Linked DNA regions of Tribolium castaneum. The protein of the gene in region 2 interacts with the protein of the main gene of each other region in a pairwise test. Links are inferred from orthologs where the notes say so. Each region holds a gene or a part of one and is shown on either strand. Other genes may lie near its edges.

Region 1 (5,663 bases), on a different chromosome or scaffold from region 2:
CCCATGGTGGGCCCTGAGAACCCCTTCAAGACCCAGCAGCAACAATGCACCCGAAACATACTTTCGGGTTACGTTGAGCCAGCGTATGTGAACGAGTTCCAATTCGAAAACCAAAGACGGACGTTTAACAGTTTTGGTTACGCTCTGGACCCCACTGTGGGCAGTGCCGCTGAAGGCACCAAAGTTGTTACAACGACTGGCCAATGCGATGATATTGACCCGGAAGCAAAAACAGTGTTTGAATCAACCAAGCTGAGACCTTTAGATAAGAGAAAACGTAAAAAGAATAACGACCCGAGCGATATTGAGGGGTTTTTGGGGCCCTGGGGTGGTTTTGTGGACGAACAAAGGGTCATGAAGCCGTCTGATGAGGAGGCAGCAGAGTTGGACGAATTATTGTCGAAAAAGAACAAGAAGGGGAAACCCACAGAAGACAAACCAATCGAGGAAAAATCAATTTTGCACAGTAAGAGTGACTATTGGGTGAATTTTGCGAAAATTGCTGGTTTTGTTACAGTTTCAGACGCTGTGGATTATCAGGGAAGGAGTTTTCTACATGCACCTCAAGATGTTGGTGTCAATTTGAAATCGGACAGCCCCCCGGAGAAGTGTTTCCTTCCGAAAGCACATATTCATACGTGGTCGGGGCACTCGAAAGGAATTGCGGCCATTCGGTGGTTCCCCCGAACGGCTCATTTGTTACTGTCTGCTAGCATGGACTGCAGAATTAAGGTCTGTCTAGTGGCCTATGATTCTTAATTTGAATAAGATGGCAGCACCGAATAGTTTAATTTCAGTCACAGCCAACTTAATGTTGGTTTATGAAAAGTCACTATTAGCTTTTTCAAAACTATTAAAAAAAATAATCGTATTTTTTGTTGTAGTTGTGGGAAGTGTATAACGAAAGGAGATTAGTTCGCACCTACTACGGCCATAAGCAAGCCGTTAGGGACATTTGTTTCAATAATTCAGGAAAACTGTTTCTTTCGGCCGGTATGTTTATTTATTTTTTTGGTATATTAACAAAAAAAATGTGATTTAGGTTACGACAGGTATATTAAATTGTGGGATACTGAGACTGGTCAAGTGGTCAAGCGATTTTCAAGCCGCAAAATCCCCTATTGTATCAAATTCAACCCTGATAAGAACAAACAACACCTCTTCGTTGCTGGAACTTCTGATAAGAAAATCATTTGTGTATGTGTGCTTTTTTTTCAGTTTTTGTTTTTTTTTAATTATTTATTATAGTGGGACACCAGATCTGGCGATATTGTCCAAGAGTACGACCGCCATCTGGGAGCAGTTAACTCTATTACATTCGTTGACGACAATCGCCGATTCGTTACGACTTCGGACGATAAAAGTTTGAGGGTCTGGGAGTGGGACATCCCCGTTGATATGAAATACATCGCAGACCCGACCATGCACAGCATGCCTGCTGTGACGCCAGCACCCAATGGAAAATGGTTGGCTTGTCAAAGCATGGACAACAAAATTGTCATTTTCTCGGCATTAAATCGCTTCAAAATAAATCGAAAAAAGACGTTTACGGGACATATGGTGGCTGGGTATGCCTGCACACTTGATTTTTCACCAGATTTGAGGTTTGTTATTATTTTTTTAACAGTTGTAGGTTTTAACAATTTTTTTTGTAGTTATTTAGTGTCGGGTGACGCCGATGGTAAGTGCTACATCTGGGATTGGAAAACTACAAAGTTGTATAAGAAGTGGAAAGCGCACGATAATGTCTGTATCAGTGTGCTGTGGCATCCGCACGAGCCGAGCAAGTTAGTGACAGCAGGCTGGGATGGACTTATCAAATACTGGGATTAAGTTTCCAAGAAGGTGTAAATTTTAAGCGAAATAAAATATTTTAATTAGAAGATACGTCCTTTCGCTATGGTCACGTGATCGTTATAACCAATCAACGTAAGCGATTTCGGTCACCTGACTTATGTCTACGGTGAAACGTCACTCATTTTGCGTTTTTAAATGCCTACGTCTAATTTTGACAGCGAGATTTTAATTCCGCCGTTAAAGCATTTAAAAGATTAGAAAAAAATTAGATAAAAAATGATGTTTTTGCAATTGGAAAAAAATAAAGAATGATTATTAGTATTTTATTTAATAGTAATTAAATTTTCTAACATCAGCATTTGCTTTTTTTTCAAAAAATCTTTGTTCTCTAAATCGTCCTTTTAATTATTAATTTTTTTAATTAATTAATTTTTTCTCAAACTGTATTTTTTCGTCTTTGCAACAATCACACATTAAATTCACTTTCAAAAGACAATAAGTTGCTACTTTCGTTCGTTCCTATGTTGATTTCTAAATTTTCTAGATAATTTAAATGGAGAATTAAATACTTTAATGGGACTTTAATTTTTAAATATATATTTAAAATGATGAAACGGGGTGTTCAGTATTATAACTAATTAAGTCCGTTAGACGAGTTTTGAGTTACACAGGTCCGGACTTTGCTGGTATTTTGCAAATTTGTTTTATGGTGGAGTGGCATAGTTTTTTGGTAATGACTAAAAGACAACGTAGATTGTGAAATAACGTAATTAGAGTATGATTTTACAGCATACGTTTCTATTTTCTATATTTTTCTCAAAATTGACACAACTTTTGGTCATTTACTTCAGATTTTTTGCTGTTGAATGACTGTTAGATGCTGATTTCAAGAGAATCAACGATTTTTTCTATCATTAGTTCTCTGGTCCTCCCTAGTTTGTGAATGAATCCAAGTATAAACAACTCTCGCTTTAGTAAACCACTTTTTCCAATCCGTGCCAAAATTTGAATATCATCCAAAGGCCATAAATCTCCCCCACCCGCCCCTCAAAATCCATAAAATTCCTGCTTTCGCGCATGCGCCCCTACTACCCATCCCGCAAACATCCTCCCGCTTTGTTTACGTATGCTGTCAAGCGCGTCCATTTCCTAGTGCCGTTTGCGTGCCCCCATGGACGACCCCGGCAGAATGATGGGCCACACCGGCGGCGGCCTGATGCCCCCTCAGCCGTACATGAACGCCCAGGACGCGCCCGCGGGCGGCGAGAACGAGCCCCGCAAGCAGGACATCGGTGAGATCCTCCAGCAGATCATGAACATCACCGACCAGAGCCTCGACGAGGCCCAAGCGCGCAAACACACCCTCAACTGCCACCGCATGAAGCCGGCCCTGTTCTCCGTGCTGTGCGAAATCAAGGAGAAGACGGTGCTCAGCCTGCGGAACACGCAGGAGGAGGAGCCCCCCGACCCCCAGCTGATGCGGCTCGACAACATGCTGATCGCCGAGGGGGTGGCGGGCCCCGAGAAGGGCGGCGGCGCGGGGGCCGCCGCCTCGGGCTCCGCCGCCGCCCAGGCCGGCCAGCCCGACAACGCCATCGAGCACAGCGACTACAGGGCCAAACTCGCCCAAATCCGCCAAATCTACCACCAAGAACTGGAAAAGTACGAACAGGCGTGCAATGAGTTCACCACACACGTTATGAACTTGCTGCGGGAGCAGTCCCGGACTCGCCCAATCACCCCGAAGGAAATCGAGCGGATGGTGCAAATCATACACAAGAAATTCTCCTCGATTCAGATGCAGCTGAAACAGTCGACTTGCGAGGCTGTTATGATCCTCAGATCGCGGTTTTTGGACGCCAGAAGGAAACGCCGGAATTTCAGCAAGCAGGCGTCGGAAATTCTAAACGAGTATTTTTACTCGCATTTGTCTAATCCCTACCCCAGTGAGGAGGCGAAGGAAGAGTTGGCTAGGAAATGCGGGATCACAGTGAGCCAGGTGTCGAACTGGTTCGGGAACAAACGAATCAGGTACAAGAAGAACATCGGGAAGGCGCAGGAAGAGGCCAATTTGTACGCGGCGAAGAAGGCGGCAGGGGCGTCGCCCTACAGCGGCACCCCGACCCCCATGATGTCCCCAGCGCCCCCGCAGGACTCCATGGGCTACTCCATGGGGTCGGCCTACGACCAGAGCTCAGCCTATGACGCCAGTAGCTGTGGTTACGACCCAATGCACGCACAGGAACTGTCGCCCTAATCAAACCCTAGCTTAATTTTAAGGAAATACAGTTGTATACTAACCCATGTATACCGAATTTTGTATCGTGTACAGTGTGTTTCTGGGTTCAATTGCTTCAAGTTTTACTTTTCTGATAGTATAGGACGTACTTGCAATATATTTTTAGGTTGATTGTTTTAGGAGTTAAGGCGAGTTTTTCTTCAGTATTTTTTGTATATTTACTTATTTTTATCGATAAGGAGCAGCTGGGTGAGAGAACTTTGCTTTAACGCCGAGGTTTTTCCATCGAAAATGAAATTACAGTGCTTACTATTTAAATAAATAACTGTAGTAACACGTGGATCATTTTTTCAACATACATGAAATAATCACAGAAAATCCTACATGGAAATAAAGGGCGTAGAGAGACTCACGTGAATAAAAGCCCCATAAAAATTAACTCACTAAAAAAAAACAATCACTGTCATTGTGGATAGATTTATAAAATAATTACTCAGATGTCAATAAAAGTTTTAGATTTTTTAGACGAAGCGTCGTTAATTTAATTCGCAATTAAATGCGTGATTAACTGGACACGTGACCAAATTAAAGAAATGTGATTGGTGATTTAAGAGGTATGCAGAAATAACTTTCTAGGATAAAATTTAGTTCCTCTGTAAACCGAGATTCTAGGGGTGCAATTTCAGTTGGGACACCCTGTATAGAGACCAGAGGGGGAACGTAATACCCACTTATTACATAAATCACAACTTATCGTGAGCTTTTTTCTTTTTGGTATATGGGTATTTTTATCTGTGTGGGCTTTAAATTTTTCTGCTCAGACCCCACAATTAAATTTGCCGCTGTGACACTTCCAGTTATACCAACACTACACCGAGTTGGGCCCGTCGATATACGCTTATTTTGGCTTAAATTTTATTATTTTTGCTTTGATAACCACTTTGCGTGTTTAGCGAAACAATCATTGTGGAAATTCGCCCGAAAACGGTCAATTTTGGGTCAATTCCGCGTCTGGTGTGTGTCGTGTGGGTGTCAGCCCTGCCAAAACAAAAACCGATCAAATGTCAAATTCCTGACGTCCACACTTATTTACTCACATTTCCACCTCAAATCGTCTCTCATTTCGCATAATGTGTTTAAAAGTGTCATTTTCCCTCCTGGATTAACTCACAGTCGTGGTGCACGCCCCGCTCGTCGATGATGTAGTGGCAGGTTGCAAGGAGGCGTAATAAGATATTGTGTTGTCTCGAGTGGCCCCACACTATGGAGGATAGTTTGAGCGTGAAATCAAATGAGTCGGTGGCAACGAGCGAAGAGTTTGATTTCGTTGGGGACAAGCCTGCGAACAAGACGCCCACGTTGGATATTAAGGGGGATCTAAGCGAGTTGAAGAGTGCCTTGACGGAGGTGCTGCAGGAGTCGGGGAGGAATATGGACGAGGTGGACGGCAAGGAGAAGAAGATCGGGCATTCGACGTTTTATGGGTGTTTGGTGGAGCCGGGGAAGGACCCGCTGTCAAGGACGGGGGAGGACAGTCCCGGGGAAAAACAGGACTCGGTCAAGCAGGACTCCAATGAGGAGGAGGAAGGTGAGGAAGCTGCGAAAAAGTTACGTTTGTTGCCTTATA
Region 2 (6,640 bases):
AAGTATTTTTACCAAAACCGGATTAAAATATAAGTTACCGTCGCGGCTGAATTTACATAAATATGTCACTGGTCTACAGTCCAAATTTTTAGGAAACCCGTCGTCTTCAATCTTACAGAGAAAAAATATTTGGTATCGTAGCCTAAAATATCTAATCTTGCGATAAGATTAAAATAATTTTTAAGTTAGTTTAAACTGTACAATAAATGGATTAACGGATTTGGCGGTTAATCTCGCTGTATAATTGTAACACCGGGAGGTTTTACTGATTTTTATTTAAACAATAAAAACAGACACATAATAAACAGTTTGTAACTGATTTTAGCGGGTATTTTTAAAGGCGTTATCGTAATATTCGTAATGCATGCATGGTTTAAATTATGCTGTGGATACAACCTTTTTTACTACAATAACACATTTTTGGAGAGATTAAGAATTATTTTTAACTAAACTGGTTCTGAAAGGAAACTGTAATTGGCAACGTAATTATCATATTTAAAACCAATTTTAATTTGGTTTAATGATTTGCGGCGGATTTGGTTCGTTGTTCACTTCTGAAGGTTTATTTTTTCGAAGTTTTAACCAACTTAAAAAAAATGAGTAAATTCTTGCCTGACGTGAGTCCAGGCTGTATGCCTACATAAAATTGAATAATTCTTGATTTTTATTAATATCTTTAGTAATGGTAATAAAGATATCTCCCAAGTGGTCATAAATCAAAAATATTGTCTGCAGTATTATCCTTGCAATGTACACTCGGATATTTTTAAATTGCAACTTTACCGCCTGGCCGCCTTCGGGAATGTGAAACTAGCAAAAACTCATATTACTTGAAAAATTTATGACACCCAAAAATTAAATTTTCGTTCCTGGTATTTTTACGTTTTAACCTGAATTTTTAGCGAGTTTATTTAGTGTCTTTCTACTGATTTATATCTGTAAAAAATTAAAGCGGATTATAACAGACACTTTGTTGCTTTGTACAAATTTCAGATATTTATCTTTTTTTTGAAAAATCTACAATTTTCATGGATCATAACGATACTATTTTCCGGATCATATAATTCGTATGGGATTGTCACTCGGTCATAAATATACTGTTTTAGTTTTTATAGGATAGATTCTGGCGTGAAATAAATTTTGGAAAATTGTTGCGGTCACGTGTGTGCACCTGTGGGCCAGCGTCATGAAAACGCTGGCCCCGGGTGTGGAAGAATTTGGGGTTTTAGGGCACAAAAAACCACTAACTAAACGACCAAAACCACAAGACTATAGTTAGAGATAATAAGGGCATATTTACATTTTTTTGAAGCACATCCATGTCGAATCGTTTCGCACTATTCTTTAAAAATCGGTCAAAAAGAATTTTTTACACCTAGAAAAGAATTCGGAGTAAAGCAAAGCCATTAAATCAAAAACAGTGTAATCCGACGACGAAGAAGGCGACAACTCGGAGACACATCACAGCACTGAGGAACAGTCCTTTTACAACTGCCATAAACTCACATAATTACGACTCTCAAAGTCTGTAATAACGCACTTTTATCGAATTTAATTCGATGGGTGGCGCACGACACACTCCCGCACCTTGCGACGCCACTGGAGCGCGGCCGACGGCTTCCACTCCTGGAGATGTTGAGGGGCGCGATGATATTTTTATTAAAACGTCGTAAAATCGGGGGATGGAAGCGGAATCGCGATCGGATGCCGATAATTTGCCTTTTTTCGGCCCGGATTTTAGTGGCTCTAAAGTAGGAACTTGTTGGAATGGTTGTCGTCGTAAAGTTTCATGGAGTAGTAAAGAGGACCGTGTGTTATATGGAGGCGAGTTTTTTGCCCCGCCGGAGTCGCAGCCGTAAAGTTTTATCGTCGGAAATTTTGATTTGGACGGGGGCCCGTCGGCCGACGGGCCTTTTCGCGCCGATTCCGGCGCTTCATGAATATGGATTCGCGAACAAATGAGCGCTGGTATAAATGGTCTAATTTTAATTAAAATTTTGGAGTAGGTACACGCCGATTAATTACTAGATACGGGCGAATTTAATTACGGAATTAAGGGAGGGGGCCGGGGTTTCGGTGCATTCTTCGCTGCATTCCTCGATGATAATCCAAAAGTGAGTTTTTGTGAGTGGCATTTACGGTGTGTAATCAGGTAAGGTATCTGTCCGTGGCCCGGCCAAAGTGCCTATTCATCGGTTTTAAGAGAAATTAAAAGTATTCGTTGAAAGGCCACTGCTAAACTATAATTACAAGAAACGCATCACTCCCGATCTTTAATTGCGACCATTGACTAATCAAGCCTCCATTATGATGGTCGTGCCATTAGGCCCACTCCGATTAATACAAAATCACCCATTCAAATAAAAAAACGATATTTCGTCCGAATCGAACACATAAATTAAACTCATTTGAATTTTAATTATTGTGGACGCATAATATTTAACTATGATTTGTTTCCCAAATAGTTATCCGATATTTTATCCAGTTTATTACTCCGTATTATAACAAAATAAATGAATTTTATGTGCCAATAACATTTTTCGTTTTATTCAGCCATGAAAATTTTTATTAGCTGCGAAAAACATGCAGCTTCACTGTTAAGGAGGTTATTAAATTAAGCTCTCGATCTAATTTATAACTCTCTTTTCTATAAAACCATTCAAATTAGACCACACAGCCCCGTAACAGTCTTTGCCACACGCGCGCCGCTTTTCACAAACCGAATTTCCAACAACTCCAAATTAAATAAAAGGGAACTTGGAATAATTTAGCGCGCGATTTTCCCACCGAAGGGTGCTGCCCGAAATCCCGGTGTTATATTTTTCTATTTTCCCGCTTCTCGACGCTTTGTCGGAGACATCACCCAGCCACAATTCCCTGATAAAACGTTATCTGCCTCCACTCTTCTCCCGTGTACTGTTAAATCTCCGCTTTAGTTTTCCCAAGCCACCAGGAAGCGCCACTCACAACCCCATCCCCGTATCTTTTCAATAACATACAAATTCTCCAGTTAAAATCCTTAAATCAGCTTTATTGTTTCAATAGCTCACTTAAACAAAAACAAAAAGTTTAACTACAAATCCAAATAAATATTTGAATAAATTCTATTCAAGTTTTTTTTGTTATTGGTCTTTTTTATTGCAATATTTGACAAGTGTGAGCTACTTGAACTCAGCATTTCTCTTTTATTGTTTAATTATTGCAATAAAATTTAAAGCTGCAGATTTTGAAAAATGTTACATCATTTTATTATACTGAAATAATTTTATTTGGTCTCTTAATTCAGGTGGCCCACTTTTATTAAAAAAACTCATAAAATTCCAAATGTCATCATTTCTAACCACCATTGTACGGTAATAAAAAGTTAGTAAACTTTTATGGCCTTTTTACCATGAAAAAAAATACACTTTAGCACAATTTTACAAGAGTAATTAATCTCTCATATAAATTTAAAAGAAATGTTAATTTCTAATTATCATTTTATTGGGTACTATAATTTTGAAACTTTTTTCGTCCGGTGTGCTTCAATAAAACTTGCAACAAAATTTTATATTTGCTACTTTTAAAGAATTAAAAGGTTGTAGCCTTTTTATGGTCAATTTAATTATAGTCCTTATTTAAATATGGAGAAGACCATAAACTCAACCATTCGAATTCCGAAAAAGATACAAGTGAAGAAAAACAAGATAATTTGAAATCATTTTCTCATTTCCTGGCACGGATAACACTGTTAATTGTCTTTTAATAGTTGTTTTTTTATAAGTTTTCCAAACTCAAAAATATTCTCTTTGTTTCTCTTTGGTTTGTAGTTTGTTAATTGGATTGTCTTAAGGCCGGTTCGCATTGGCGCGTTTATCGCTGGATGTTATGGTTGTCGTGGGGCGATGTACAGGGTGATTGATGCGAAGTGTCGCGGCGCGTCACGTGATGGGGTGGTACCGGTAGCCGTCGGCCCGCGCGCGGACCGCCGCGGTCCAGTGGCGATCTCGCGTTTCGGCTGCGGTGTGTCGGCCGCTGGTCGCCTTCTCCGTCGGTCACTTCGTACCCGTGGCTGAGCCATGAACTGCACCGGGTGGTCGCACCGTAGCACCGTCAGAGTCACTCTTGGCGCGCACTTTTATCACACTCACTGCGGTTCACTGCACTGTCGTGTACACTGGGCCGGTGCGAGCAGGTGCTGGGGGCCCCCTCGGGCATGGGGTCGGTGGATGGGGTCTCAGATCTCTCGGTGGTGATGGTGCGCCGAGCTGCCGTGTCCGAAGCGCGTGCGGAGATCCTGCGCGGTCCGCAGTCGTCTGCCAACTGTCAATCACGCCGAACGAAGGGGGCAGAGTGGGGCTCAGATGAATGATCTGTCAGGGCAAAGACACGCCTCTCGCCCAATGGCGGACGCTACGAACGCGCGCGCGCCGTCTCACGGACGTTCCAGGCACTACCGAACAGCGTTGCCAAGACGCCCCACAAACCTCCCCAAGTCCCCACAAAACTCGATACCATACGCTGCACCCGAAGTACATACATAACCTAAAAAATCACACTCTATACGCTCTACACCCGACCGATTCCACGCACTATACATTATTTAACGCGCAATTATGCACCGTGAATCATTAATACTTGTATATTTATCAATGCTGCCTTAATTATCTACGTAATAACCCTATAATTACCACATTTTACGTAATCATATCAAAAATATATGTCTATACTATACCTTCTGACCCTGTAAAAAACCACCCCAACCTATGCTATACAACTTGACAAAAAATATATTACGCGTATAGCTATGATTTCTTGAATTCAGTATCTATATATACCTATATATAGGTACCTATATATACTTATAGGCATATATACCTATATATATTATAAACTTCGGTTATAAAATTTCGATTCTGGTTAAACCGATTACATACATATACGAGGTCATCAGTTTCAGACACGAACACCTATACAAAATATGTCTTTGACTTTATATTTGCGTATTATTTCCAAGGTGATATTAGAAACACTCCTAATTTGCTTTGTTGGTGAAAATATTTTTAGCATCACCTTAGAAACAACAGGAAGCCAAGGATCATCTATACCTAAAGACGTTTGTAATCTTTAGATAGAATGGATTTTGTGGATCCCCTAAACTTTATTGGCGTGAGGAGTAACGGGCGCATGGGCATTTAGATAACACAAAATGGTCACTTTTTCACACTAGGGAAGTATGGGTACGTAATTGTTCACTAATGATCAGTGGGTAAAGTGCTATGTAAGTGTGATGATTTTTCAACTTTAATAGACAAGTCATCATCCGTATAAGTGTCTCAATGTTTCTCAAGCCTTATCTAAATCGACAATGATCACCGTCAGGCCATTACAGTAATTATTATGTTTATACCTATGCACATGCACTTAAATTGCAGTCTACTCAGATGCAAATCATTTCGTCAAAAGTCTGTTCATGTTTAGTTTTTGATGTAAACTTTAACGTCTTTATGCCTTTCTTCTTCAATTTCCATATGTTTAGTGTGTTTAGTTTTTACAAGTTTACTATGTGGTTAGCGTATTATTAAGTCAATATTAAGAAGTGACAGCAACATAATGTAACTTTATGAAACACACGAATCGACTTATTATAATGGATAGGTGGAGAAAGGTAAATGGAGGTACAGCATTGGTCTTTAATTTGTTTTCAAAGTTTTTTTTTTAATTATAGTTGTAACAATGATTCGTAATTAATAATTATACAGCGTGGATAAAAAAATGAATTGCTCTCAACTTACAAAAAAGATTTTTTAGAAGAATCAGAAATAACAAAAGGAAAATGAATTTTAAAACTAATGCATGTGATAAAAATCATAGTCACTTTGTTTGAATGAAGAGAATTAGCAACAGCACATAAAAAATGTTATCTAATATTTAATTGGAACAAACGGTTCAAATTATTAAAATGCAAGTTAATTTTTATTACAGGAATACCCATAAATGATTTTTTTATCAAACACAAAAGTATCACATTGAAGATTTGCATGTGTTATTTACTGTTTTTGTTGTTTTAAATTAAAAACAACTCGTCAAGAAACGAATATGGGCTTCGGCATTTTATTGTCTTTTGTTGTGAAGTTTAAAATGAAAGTCATACATAAATATCTGTGTCGACAGTTTTAAATTTTATTTGCGAATTTCGCAATTCGCATAACATTTTCCAAATGCTTTTTGAAAGGGTGACATTTACAAAAGTGAGTTACCACAGCTGTAAATAATTTTTGACACGCAGGATTATTCAATTCTTTGATCACGAAAAGAATGCAAACAGAAAAAATTAAATATGCTTAATAAATAACAATGAGCAATTAAAAGTAACAAATAAATTTTTTAGGGTAACGAAGATCAAACACTGCATTGAATTCGGTGTAAGACTTATTTAACTTGCTTAATCTTGTAAATAAAAATTATGTCAACACGAATATCGAGCTAAGTAATGCGAGTCTTCACACTTTGTGTGGGCTGGGTTTTTACAATTTTATGGCTCGTTTTGGAAACACAGCCTGAAATTAAACCAATTATAGCCAGAGCAAATAATCTTGAATAAGCTAACGAACAGACTTCCATTATCGTAGGCCGATTGTTTGCTGAATTGTTATGTTAT

What was found.
Region 1: the proteins of hth (region 2) and exd interact in binary tests that used the Drosophila melanogaster proteins (3 or more experiments, as listed by UniProt). The link is inferred for Tribolium castaneum from reciprocal best matches to the Drosophila melanogaster genes hth and exd.

Annotation. Positions count from the first base shown.
Region 1 is NC_087400.1:5,270,412-5,276,074, reverse strand, and holds exd (extradenticle), read left to right. Parts: upstream 1-2,964; 5' UTR 2,965-2,968; coding exon 2,969-4,054; 3' UTR 4,055-4,372; downstream 4,373-5,663. Other genes in the region: pre-mRNA-processing factor 17, read left to right, coding at 1-466, 518-732, 885-993, 1,043-1,197, 1,249-1,604, 1,656-1,833; GAPcenA (rab GTPase-activating protein 1-like), read left to right, coding at 5,300-5,624. UniProt on the Drosophila melanogaster protein: Transcription factor which acts with the selector homeodomain proteins altering the regulation of downstream target genes such as wingless (wg), teashirt (tsh) and decapentaplegic (dpp), thus affecting segmental identity.
Region 2 is NC_087396.1:11,433,916-11,440,555, forward strand, and holds the start of hth (homothorax), read right to left. Parts: upstream 4,295-6,640; 5' UTR 4,061-4,294; coding exon of another isoform or gene 4,046-4,060; intron 1,376-4,045; 5' UTR 1,322-1,375; coding exon 1,301-1,321; intron 1-1,300. UniProt on the Drosophila melanogaster protein: All isoforms are required for patterning of the embryonic cuticle. Acts with exd to delimit the eye field and prevent inappropriate eye development.